2 linked regions of the Mus musculus genome follow. The protein of the gene in region 2 binds, or shares a complex with, the protein of the main gene of each other region. Links are inferred from orthologs where the notes say so. Each region holds a gene or a part of one and is shown on either strand. Other genes may lie near its edges.

Region 1 (3,641 bases), on a different chromosome or scaffold from region 2:
AGTTGCCACAATGAAGGACTTTACAAGCCTGTGTCTTCACCTGACTGTGGAGTGTGTAGACCGGTACCTGCGAAGGAGGCTGGTCCCCAGATACAAGCTGCAGCTCCTGGGTATTGCCTGCATGGTCATCTGTACCCGGTGAGGAGCCTTGACCAACGGGCAGGGCTGAGGTGCTCATGTGCTGGTCCCCCCAGATGCAGAGGCCACCGTCCTCTGAGTCCTAGCTGCTGATTTTTAAGGGAAATAACTCTTAAGTGCCTTACCTGGCTCAACTGTGTTAATAATTTCAATCCCAGTATCCTTTGCGAGGAAGGGATGGCAGAGTTGACCCTTTGTATGTCGATTATACCTCTTTGGGGGGTCTGTATCCCCCACACAGTCTTGGGACCCAGAGCCTGGACTTGGGAAGGCCTAAGCTAGACCACACTTTCCCATGATCCAAAGGATGCCAGTTGCTAAGAAGAGTTGGTTGTAGCTGTTGGCTTGTGCCTTCCTCCTCAGTCATCAGAGATAAACTGTCACTGAGATGGAATCCTCCAGTCTACCACCAAAGCCCCCAACCATCAGAGCCTGCCACAGGATGTCACATGTCACACAGCAGCCTGTTCCCTGGCAGCTCTAGCTTTTCAAATAGGTTCAGTTTACATTTTTTTTTTCTCAAGCTGTGCTTAGATTTGCCTCTGGAAGCGATGTGGAAGGCGCTTTTCAAAATGTAGTTTGCATTTTCTTACTCTTCTAAACTTGATGGCCCCAGCTTGGTCTGCTGTTTCCTAGGACACACATTTCACATCCCTGCTAACTCCTTCCTAGGCTCGCTTGTGTACTAGGGTTCCTATCTCTGTGAAAAAGCCCCATGATCAAAAGCAGCTTGGTGAGGAAAGTCAGGGCAGGAGCTTGAGCAGGGAGGGAGCCTGGAGGTAAGAACTCAGATCAGAGTCCATGGAGGGGTGCCACATAGTGGCTTGCTCGTGTCTTGCTGGGCCTTCTTTCTTATAGTGCCCAGAGCCATCAGCCCAGGGACCGCACCACCCACAGTGAGCTGAGCCCTCCCATAGCAATCTAGTAAGATTTCTTCCCATGTGACTCTTGGATCAACCTGACTCATATAGGAACCTGTGGGCAGAACATCCGGCCCACTGGGATGAAGGTCATGAAGGAGACCCGCTCACATTTGCTCCCCTCTGAGCTCCATGAGTGGTTCTTTTTCCTGTCACCGCCAAAGCTCCCAAGCCCACCTTCCTTACCAGGTTAGCCATGTGGGCATATATATCCAGCCACAGTAGACACTATAGCACCTTCCAGTATCCATGTCCCAGCTAGAGGAAGCATGGTCATGTGACCACAGGAGGAAGACTGTGGATTTCAGGGGGGAACATCTGACCTTACCGCATCCCGGGTCTTCTTCAGATAGGCTCTGTGACCCGAATCTCACATCCCAGGTCTTCTCAGCAGTCAGCAAGCTGGTGAGGCTGCTGCCTCCGCTGACCCTTCTGCCAAGGCTGAGCAGCAGTCCACATTCGCTGGGGAGGGTGCTTGTGGGACCACTGGAACAGAGTGTTTCTGATTGTTAGTACTGTGGACAGCAGAGAACAGGCTGCCCCTGCCTCAGAAACAGTCAGGATTCCTGTGGCCAAACGCTGGGAGGGCTGTGTGTAGCCCACCTACACCGGGAGGGCTGTGTGTAGCCCTCCTACACCGGGAGGGCTGTGTGTAGCCCTCCTACACCGGGAGGGCTGTGTGTAGCCCTCCTACACCGGGAGGGCTGTGTGTAGCCCTCCTACACCGGGAGGGCTGTGTGTAGCCCTCCTACACCGGGAGGGCTGTGTGTAGCCCTCCACCGTGCTCCAGCAGCTCACCTATCTTTATGTTTGCATTCTTTGTACTCAGATGCAGTCAAGGGGATAGGACAGGAGCTGAAGCGGTTGTTTAGAAGCTTGGCGAGTCTGCACCTGGCTTTGAACCACAGCACAGCCAAACAAACCTTAAAAAAAAAAAGCCCTCATCTATAAAGTCATAAAGAGCTAAATTAGTGTCGCTCATGGGTCGGGTCTTTTTTGTTTTTTGGATGAAAATCAGGACATGACAGCTCCTCGGTGGTTATAAAGGAGAGAACAGCTAGAGTAGACTGTGCCATGAGAGAAGAAGGAAAAGGAGACGCAGAGAGGAAGAGGGGAGCTGGACGGAGGGGTGCCGGGCCAAGAGAACAGATACCAACATGGCTGGGTTATGTAGGGGTCAGAGCTGCTGGAAGGGAAGGCCAGCCCCTGGACTGTAAAAGGTTCAGGGTAGGGTTGGGGCAGGAGTGCTGGGAGGAGCTATAGGTATTCAGTGAGACTTGTCCCAGGCTTCTTCGGGACCCGACACTTGTACATTCTTGTCTGTGCTCTGTAGCCATGCCTCTCCTGCTGGGTCTGAGGATCCTGTTCTGACCCCCTCTTTGTAGCCCCTGGATGCTCTTTGATAGTCAGAAGCAAGTGGATTCGCTCCATAGCTTCCTTTTGCCACCTGAGTCTGGAGCCATCCCATCATGCTTTTGCCTTGAGGCTTTCTGAGCTATGGCCCCTCAGCTCAGGCCTGAGAGCCCATCTCTACGTTCCAGGTTCATCAGCAAAGAGATTCTGACGATTAGAGAGGCTGTGTGGCTCACAGACAACACGTATAAATACGAGGACTTGGTGCGCGTGATGGGGGAGATCATTTCCGCCCTGGAAGGGAAGATTCGGGTAAGTAGGGCTTGACTTTCTCCTTTGAGCAAAAGTTTCTTCTGTTTGAGGTCACGGGGGGGGGGGGGGGGGCGGGCGGGGGGCGGGGTGGCTGTTGCGGGAAGCTGAGGCCATTGAGCGCTACTGCTGTGGAGAAAGCACCAGGAAGCCATGGCTGCGGTGTGTCATTAGCTGCCCTGAAACCCTGAGCTTGGTTGGGCCCCAGCATGAGCACCTAGGCCAAAACCCTGCTGGGCTGTGCCTCAGTGTAACACTGATGGATGAGACGTGGCATTTTCCTCCCTCTTGTCTAGATCCCTACCGTGGTTGACTATAAAGAGGTCCTGCTGACACTGGTCCCCGTCGCACCCAGAACCCAGCACCTGTGCAGCTTCCTCTGTGAGCTCACCCTGCTGCACACCAGCCTGTCCATCTATGCCCCAGCCCGCCTGGCCTCTGCGGCCCTTCTCCTGGCCAGACTCATGCATGGGCAGAGTAAGGAGAGGCCTTCTTGGGGGCTGTGGAGGGTGACCTGGTATCTTGGGGAAGTCTTGGATGAGAGAGGTTGGAAGGGAGGAAATGAACACTCCCTCCTTCATCCTGGAGAAGAAAGAGCAGCAGTATGGATCTGAAATGGGGGTTGGAGCCAGGCAGTGGTGGCGCACACCTTTAATCCCAGCACTTGGGAGTCAAGGGCAGGTGAATTTCTGAGTTCAAGACCAGCCTGGTCTATGAGTGAGTTCCAGGACAGCCAGGGCTACACAGAGAAAGTCTGTCTGGAAAAAAGAAAAAGAAAGAAATGAGGCATGGGGGGTTTTCTGGGTGATGGTTCTAGCTGAAGCAGTACATAGTTTTTCAAGTGTGTATACTGTGTATGGAGTCTTTTTTTAAAAAAAATTATTTATTTATTCTATGATTATGAGTACATTGTTGCTGTCT
Region 2 (4,360 bases):
CCAGCACTGGAGGCTGGAGCAGGCAGATTTAATGATGTTCCAGGGCAACCAGAGCCAGATGAGACCCTGTCTCTAAACACAAACTAAAAACCCACCCCTCCCAATCAAAACAAACCAAAAAAAAAACAAGAAGGGGAGAGGGCGGCCTGGCTGGGGATTGATTCTAAATTGGCCAAACCGGGGTGGTTCAAAGTTAACCCGTGCCTTGGTGTTTCTGGGCCCTGGAACATCACAGCCCCCTTATTGCGTCCTTGCTCACCTCTGCCCTCAGCCTCCAATTCTCTCATACCCAGAAAGGGCCTGAGAAGCAGCCCCTGCTAAGCCAGCTCAGAGTAATGTGGTCAGAGTTGGGGCCAAGATTAAGTAGCATGAAGCATGGAGAAAGTAACCCGGCTTGAGAGCTCCCTGTAGCTTACACTGGACCTGGGGACTTGAATATTGTCAGCTACTTACTCTCTTCTTGTGGTCATCTCCCCCACCCCCAAGGACAGGAAGTTTGTGGGTCTTGTTAAACCTTTCATGTTTCTATTCCCAGTATTGGCAAGATGCCTAGTAGAGAGGACCACAATGCTGATCAGACGGGCTGACCCCAGCAATCAGAAATGCTGATGGAGGACCTCTGGATTAAAGGCACCACCATACGCACCCTCCTCGCCCCTGCACCTCCCTATGAGAGGAGATACTTTAATGGACCAATCTCTTCACATTGCAAACATCTGCTGCTTCTGTGTTTCCTTTTTTTCCTTTTCACTAAGTCATGAGTCAAGGTCTGGACTGAGGATGGGACAGTGAACGCTCTCAGGCGTTTTTTTTTTTTTGAGATCAGGGTCTCACTGTGTAGTTCTGGATGACCTGAACTGGGAAGATCCGCCTGCCTCTGCCTCCCAAGTGCTGGGATTAAAGGCAGGCGCCATTGTGGAGTGACCAAATGAATGAACGCTAACTGGGCTCTGGCTACGAAAGAAATTTCAGTAAAAAGACACTGAGATCAAAGCCACACATCCCTTACTCATTTCCTGGCTCCCCTCTTGGGCTTGGCTTCTGGGTGACAGGATAGGGAAGAAAGCATGATGTGAACTAATGGAATAAATGGATCTTAAGACCGGAGATGTGGCTGAAGCGAGCTTTGGAGGTGAGCCTGAAGAGGCAGTCTCTGGGCTGTAAACTGAGGGGGTGGAGACCACAGGTTGAGAGTTTAGGGGGTCATGTGGAGACTGCGGGACGTGCAGAACCGAGTACGAAGTTTGTTCGCTTCGCCAGACCCGCCACCCATCGAGTGGGCGGTGAAGGGGCGGGGCCCATTGCCCACGCCTCCTGCAGGGCACGGCGAGAGGCAGAGGGGAGAAGGCGCCCGGCACCGCCCGGACAAAGCCTGCGCGCGCCCCGCCCCGGGATTGGCCACCCCGCCCCTGGTCCCACCCTCCGTCTCCTGCCCCGCACGCCGCAACCAATGCTCGCCATCGGAGCCTCCGTCGTCACAGCCGCCCCGGCCAATGGAGGAGGCGTTCGGCGGCGCGTGGCTCTTTCGCGGCAAAAAGGATTTGGCGCGTAAAAGTGGCCCGGACTTTGCAGGCAGCGGCGGCCGGGGCGGAGCGGGATCGAGCCCTCGCCGCGGCCTGCCAGTCATGGGCCCGCGCCGCCGCCGCCGCCTGCCTCCCGGGCCACGCGGGCCGTGAGCGCCATGGCCGTAGCCCCCGCGGGCGGCCAGCACGCGCCAGCGCTGGAGGCCCTGCTCGGGGCGGGCGCGTTGCGGCTGCTCGACTCCTCGCAGATCGTCATCATCTCCACCGCGCCCGATGTCGGCGCCCCGCAGCTCCCCGCCGCGCCGCCCACTGGCCCTCGCGATTCTGACGTGCTGCTCTTCGCCACGCCGCAGGCGCCCCGACCCGCGCCTAGTGCACCGCGCCCGGCTCTCGGCCGCCCGCCGGTACGGACCCTAGGCGCGGGCGGGGGAGGGGACGGGCTGCTGCGCTGGGCGGCGCGGAGCCTGGGCTGGGCCTCGGGGCTCCGCCCCGGGGCGCGCATTGACTGACTGCCTTGCCTGTCTGTTTGCTGAGCCTCGCTCCGGGCCTCGGCGTCTTCACCGGAGCGTCGGAACCATTAATGATTGTGTCTCACGTGTATCCAGCTGGTGCTTGCTTAGTGCACGCTCAGGCTTTGGCACCAAATTCCCAATTCTGGTGTGAGCTGGGTGTTGTCACGTGCCCATCTGCCAGAGGGAGGAACTGAGGCCCAGAGATGGGGAAGTGCTTCACGCAGCTGCAGATGGTGGGGCTGATATTTGAACTGATGTCTGCTGGCTTGCTGCAGAACCTATGGCTAGGGAGTGCGCACAGTTGCTTGTTGGAGGTGAGAGAGGGTGACTGTTAGAGACATCTTCGGGAGATCCTCCTTAGTAGCTCTGCCAGGTGCAGGCCTGGCCTTCCAGGCCTCTGGGGATAGGCCTCTTGATTGGGAGGCCTTCTCTGCAGGGGCGGGGTGCTGGGCCAGCTGCTGCAACCCTTCCTTTGCCTGTTCTTCCATCTGCCACCCTTCCAGCTCCTGGTTGCCATGGAACTTTATTAATCAGGCGGACAGACCTCTGAGCCTCTGGAAGACTGGGTGGGCTGGGCCCCTGAGAAGGGGCCTCCAGTTCCTGGAGAGAGAAGACGTGGGAGGGAGATCCCTGGATAAAAGTCTCTTCCTGATTCTAAGCAAGTAGCTCAAGACCACTTTAGGCAGGGGGCCTAGAAAAGGCAGCTGGGTACGAGGAGAGTGGAACTTGGATCTAAGCAGGGGCCAGCTCCGTGAGTGGGCCACTATCTTCATTGTAGGGGTGGAGTGGACAGGAGGGGCGAGGGCAAGGCCCAGTATCAGAGAAGAAGCTGTTCAACTCCTGATGGGGGTGTGGGTGGCAGCTGGTCCCTGAGGCATCTTAGAGTAGGCCCCTTACTCCCCTTGGCACAGCGCCCAGTGCTGCCTTCCTTCCGGAATCACCAAGATGCTAATAATAATAACAATAGCAACCACCATTGTTTTGAGGATGTTTTGTGTGCCAGGCTCTGTGCTAAGCACTTTACTCACTTAACCTTGTGGGCAGCCGTACACTTTGTCATCCTTTCATAGATGAGGCTGAGGCCCACAACTGATAGAACTTCTTAAGCATTCAGTGACTGAGCGGGATTTCCTGGCTGTTAAAGGCCTTTCCTCCCAGCGAGGACGGCCAGTATTTGGTGGGTCAGCCGGCTTGCCTTGCATTAACTCCAGGGGCCTGTACCTGTAGGGAGGAGCTTGGGCCCTGGGCAGGTATTCTACATGTAACCAAACATTCCATTCGCTCTAGTTGAGTTAGTGAGTCCCTTTGTGCCCTAGGTGCAGAGGTAGTTAGGGAACCCCTGCCCCCATAGTACTTAAGGACCAGCAAACATTTTCTGTGGGAGAGGTTGACACCATCCCGGAGCCAAAGGCCAGGAATGCAAATCTGGATTTTGGCCTCTACCAACTTTGCTCTGGAATTTTGGGGGGGCAGTCCTTGAAATAAGCTACAGGCTTGGCTTGCACCCAGTGAATACTTGCTGGGTCCTTCCTGTGCACCTCTGTACACCTCTTTGCAGTTCAGACATTCCTCCTTGACCTACCTCTCTACCTTGTCATGTATGTGTAGATCCTGGGGGGGGGGGGGGAGGGGAATAGCACAGACAGGAGAACTGACACAGGTTCAAGGCCAGCCAGGGCTACATAGTGAAACCTAACCTTAAAGTAAGTTGGGCTGGATAGATGGTTCAGCCATTGAAAGCAATTGCTTCTCTGTTATGACAACTTGAGTTTGGATCACAGCCCCAACACTGAGGTCACATGGCTAACTTCAGTCTCCAGGGATTTGATAGTCTTCTCCTGTCTTTGGGTACCCATGTTCACATACATTCATACAGACACAAATTTCATTTTAAAAAGAAAATAATTTTAAAAAGTAAACTAGTTAAAAATAAATTAAGCCGGGCGTGGTGGCACACGCCTTTAATCCCAGCACTTGGGAGGCAGAGGCAGATTTCTGAGTTCGAGACCAGCCTGGTCTACAAAGTGAGTTCCAGGACAGCCAGGGCTACAGAGAAACCCTGTCTTGAAAAACAAAACAAAACAAACAAACAAAAATAAATAAAATATCAACAGCCTATTTTGGTTAATTGACTTCTTGAGTTCAAAGCCAGCCCGAATTACAAAGACCCTCTTTCAAAACAGTAACAGCAAGAAACTGAGGTTCCCCATTATAGTTCTTGTTTACTGTAGAAAGTATGTGGTACCATACATTAAGTCTGTAAGAGCCAGGCTTAGAGTAGAAAGCCAGCTCTTCTGCAGGGCCCTTGTTTTAGGTGTGACACTG

The links.
Region 1: the proteins of E2f1 (region 2) and Ccnf are in contact, whole or in part, in a cryo-EM structure (PDB 9CB3), measured with the Homo sapiens proteins. The link is inferred for Mus musculus from reciprocal best matches to the Homo sapiens genes E2F1 and CCNF. Residues at the interface, in NP_005216.1 of Homo sapiens: Gly84, Arg85, Pro87, Val88, Lys89, Arg90, Arg91, Leu92, Asp93, Leu94, Glu95, Thr96; in NP_001752.2 of Homo sapiens: Met309, Ile312, Leu313, Asp315, Trp316, Glu319, Val320, Met323, Arg349, Leu352, Gln353, Trp379, Leu380, Thr381, Asp382, Thr384, Asp504, Tyr505, Val508, Leu510, Thr511.

The regions. Positions count from the first base shown.
Region 1 is NC_000083.6:24,230,867-24,234,507, reverse strand, and holds part of Ccnf (cyclin-F), read left to right. Parts: coding exon 1-138; intron 139-2,599; coding exon 2,600-2,723; intron 2,724-3,016; coding exon 3,017-3,197; intron 3,198-3,641. UniProt on the Homo sapiens protein: Substrate recognition component of a SCF (SKP1-CUL1-F-box protein) E3 ubiquitin-protein ligase complex which mediates the ubiquitination and subsequent proteasomal degradation of target proteins.
Region 2 is NC_000068.7:154,567,056-154,571,415, reverse strand, and holds the start of E2f1 (transcription factor E2F1), read left to right. Parts: upstream 1-1,523; 5' UTR 1,524-1,681; coding exon 1,682-1,927; intron 1,928-1,989; exon of another isoform or gene 1,990-2,238; coding exon of another isoform or gene 2,239-2,349; intron 2,350-4,360. UniProt on the Homo sapiens protein: Transcription activator that binds DNA cooperatively with DP proteins through the E2 recognition site, 5'-TTTC[CG]CGC-3' found in the promoter region of a number of genes whose products are involved in cell cycle regulation or in DNA replication.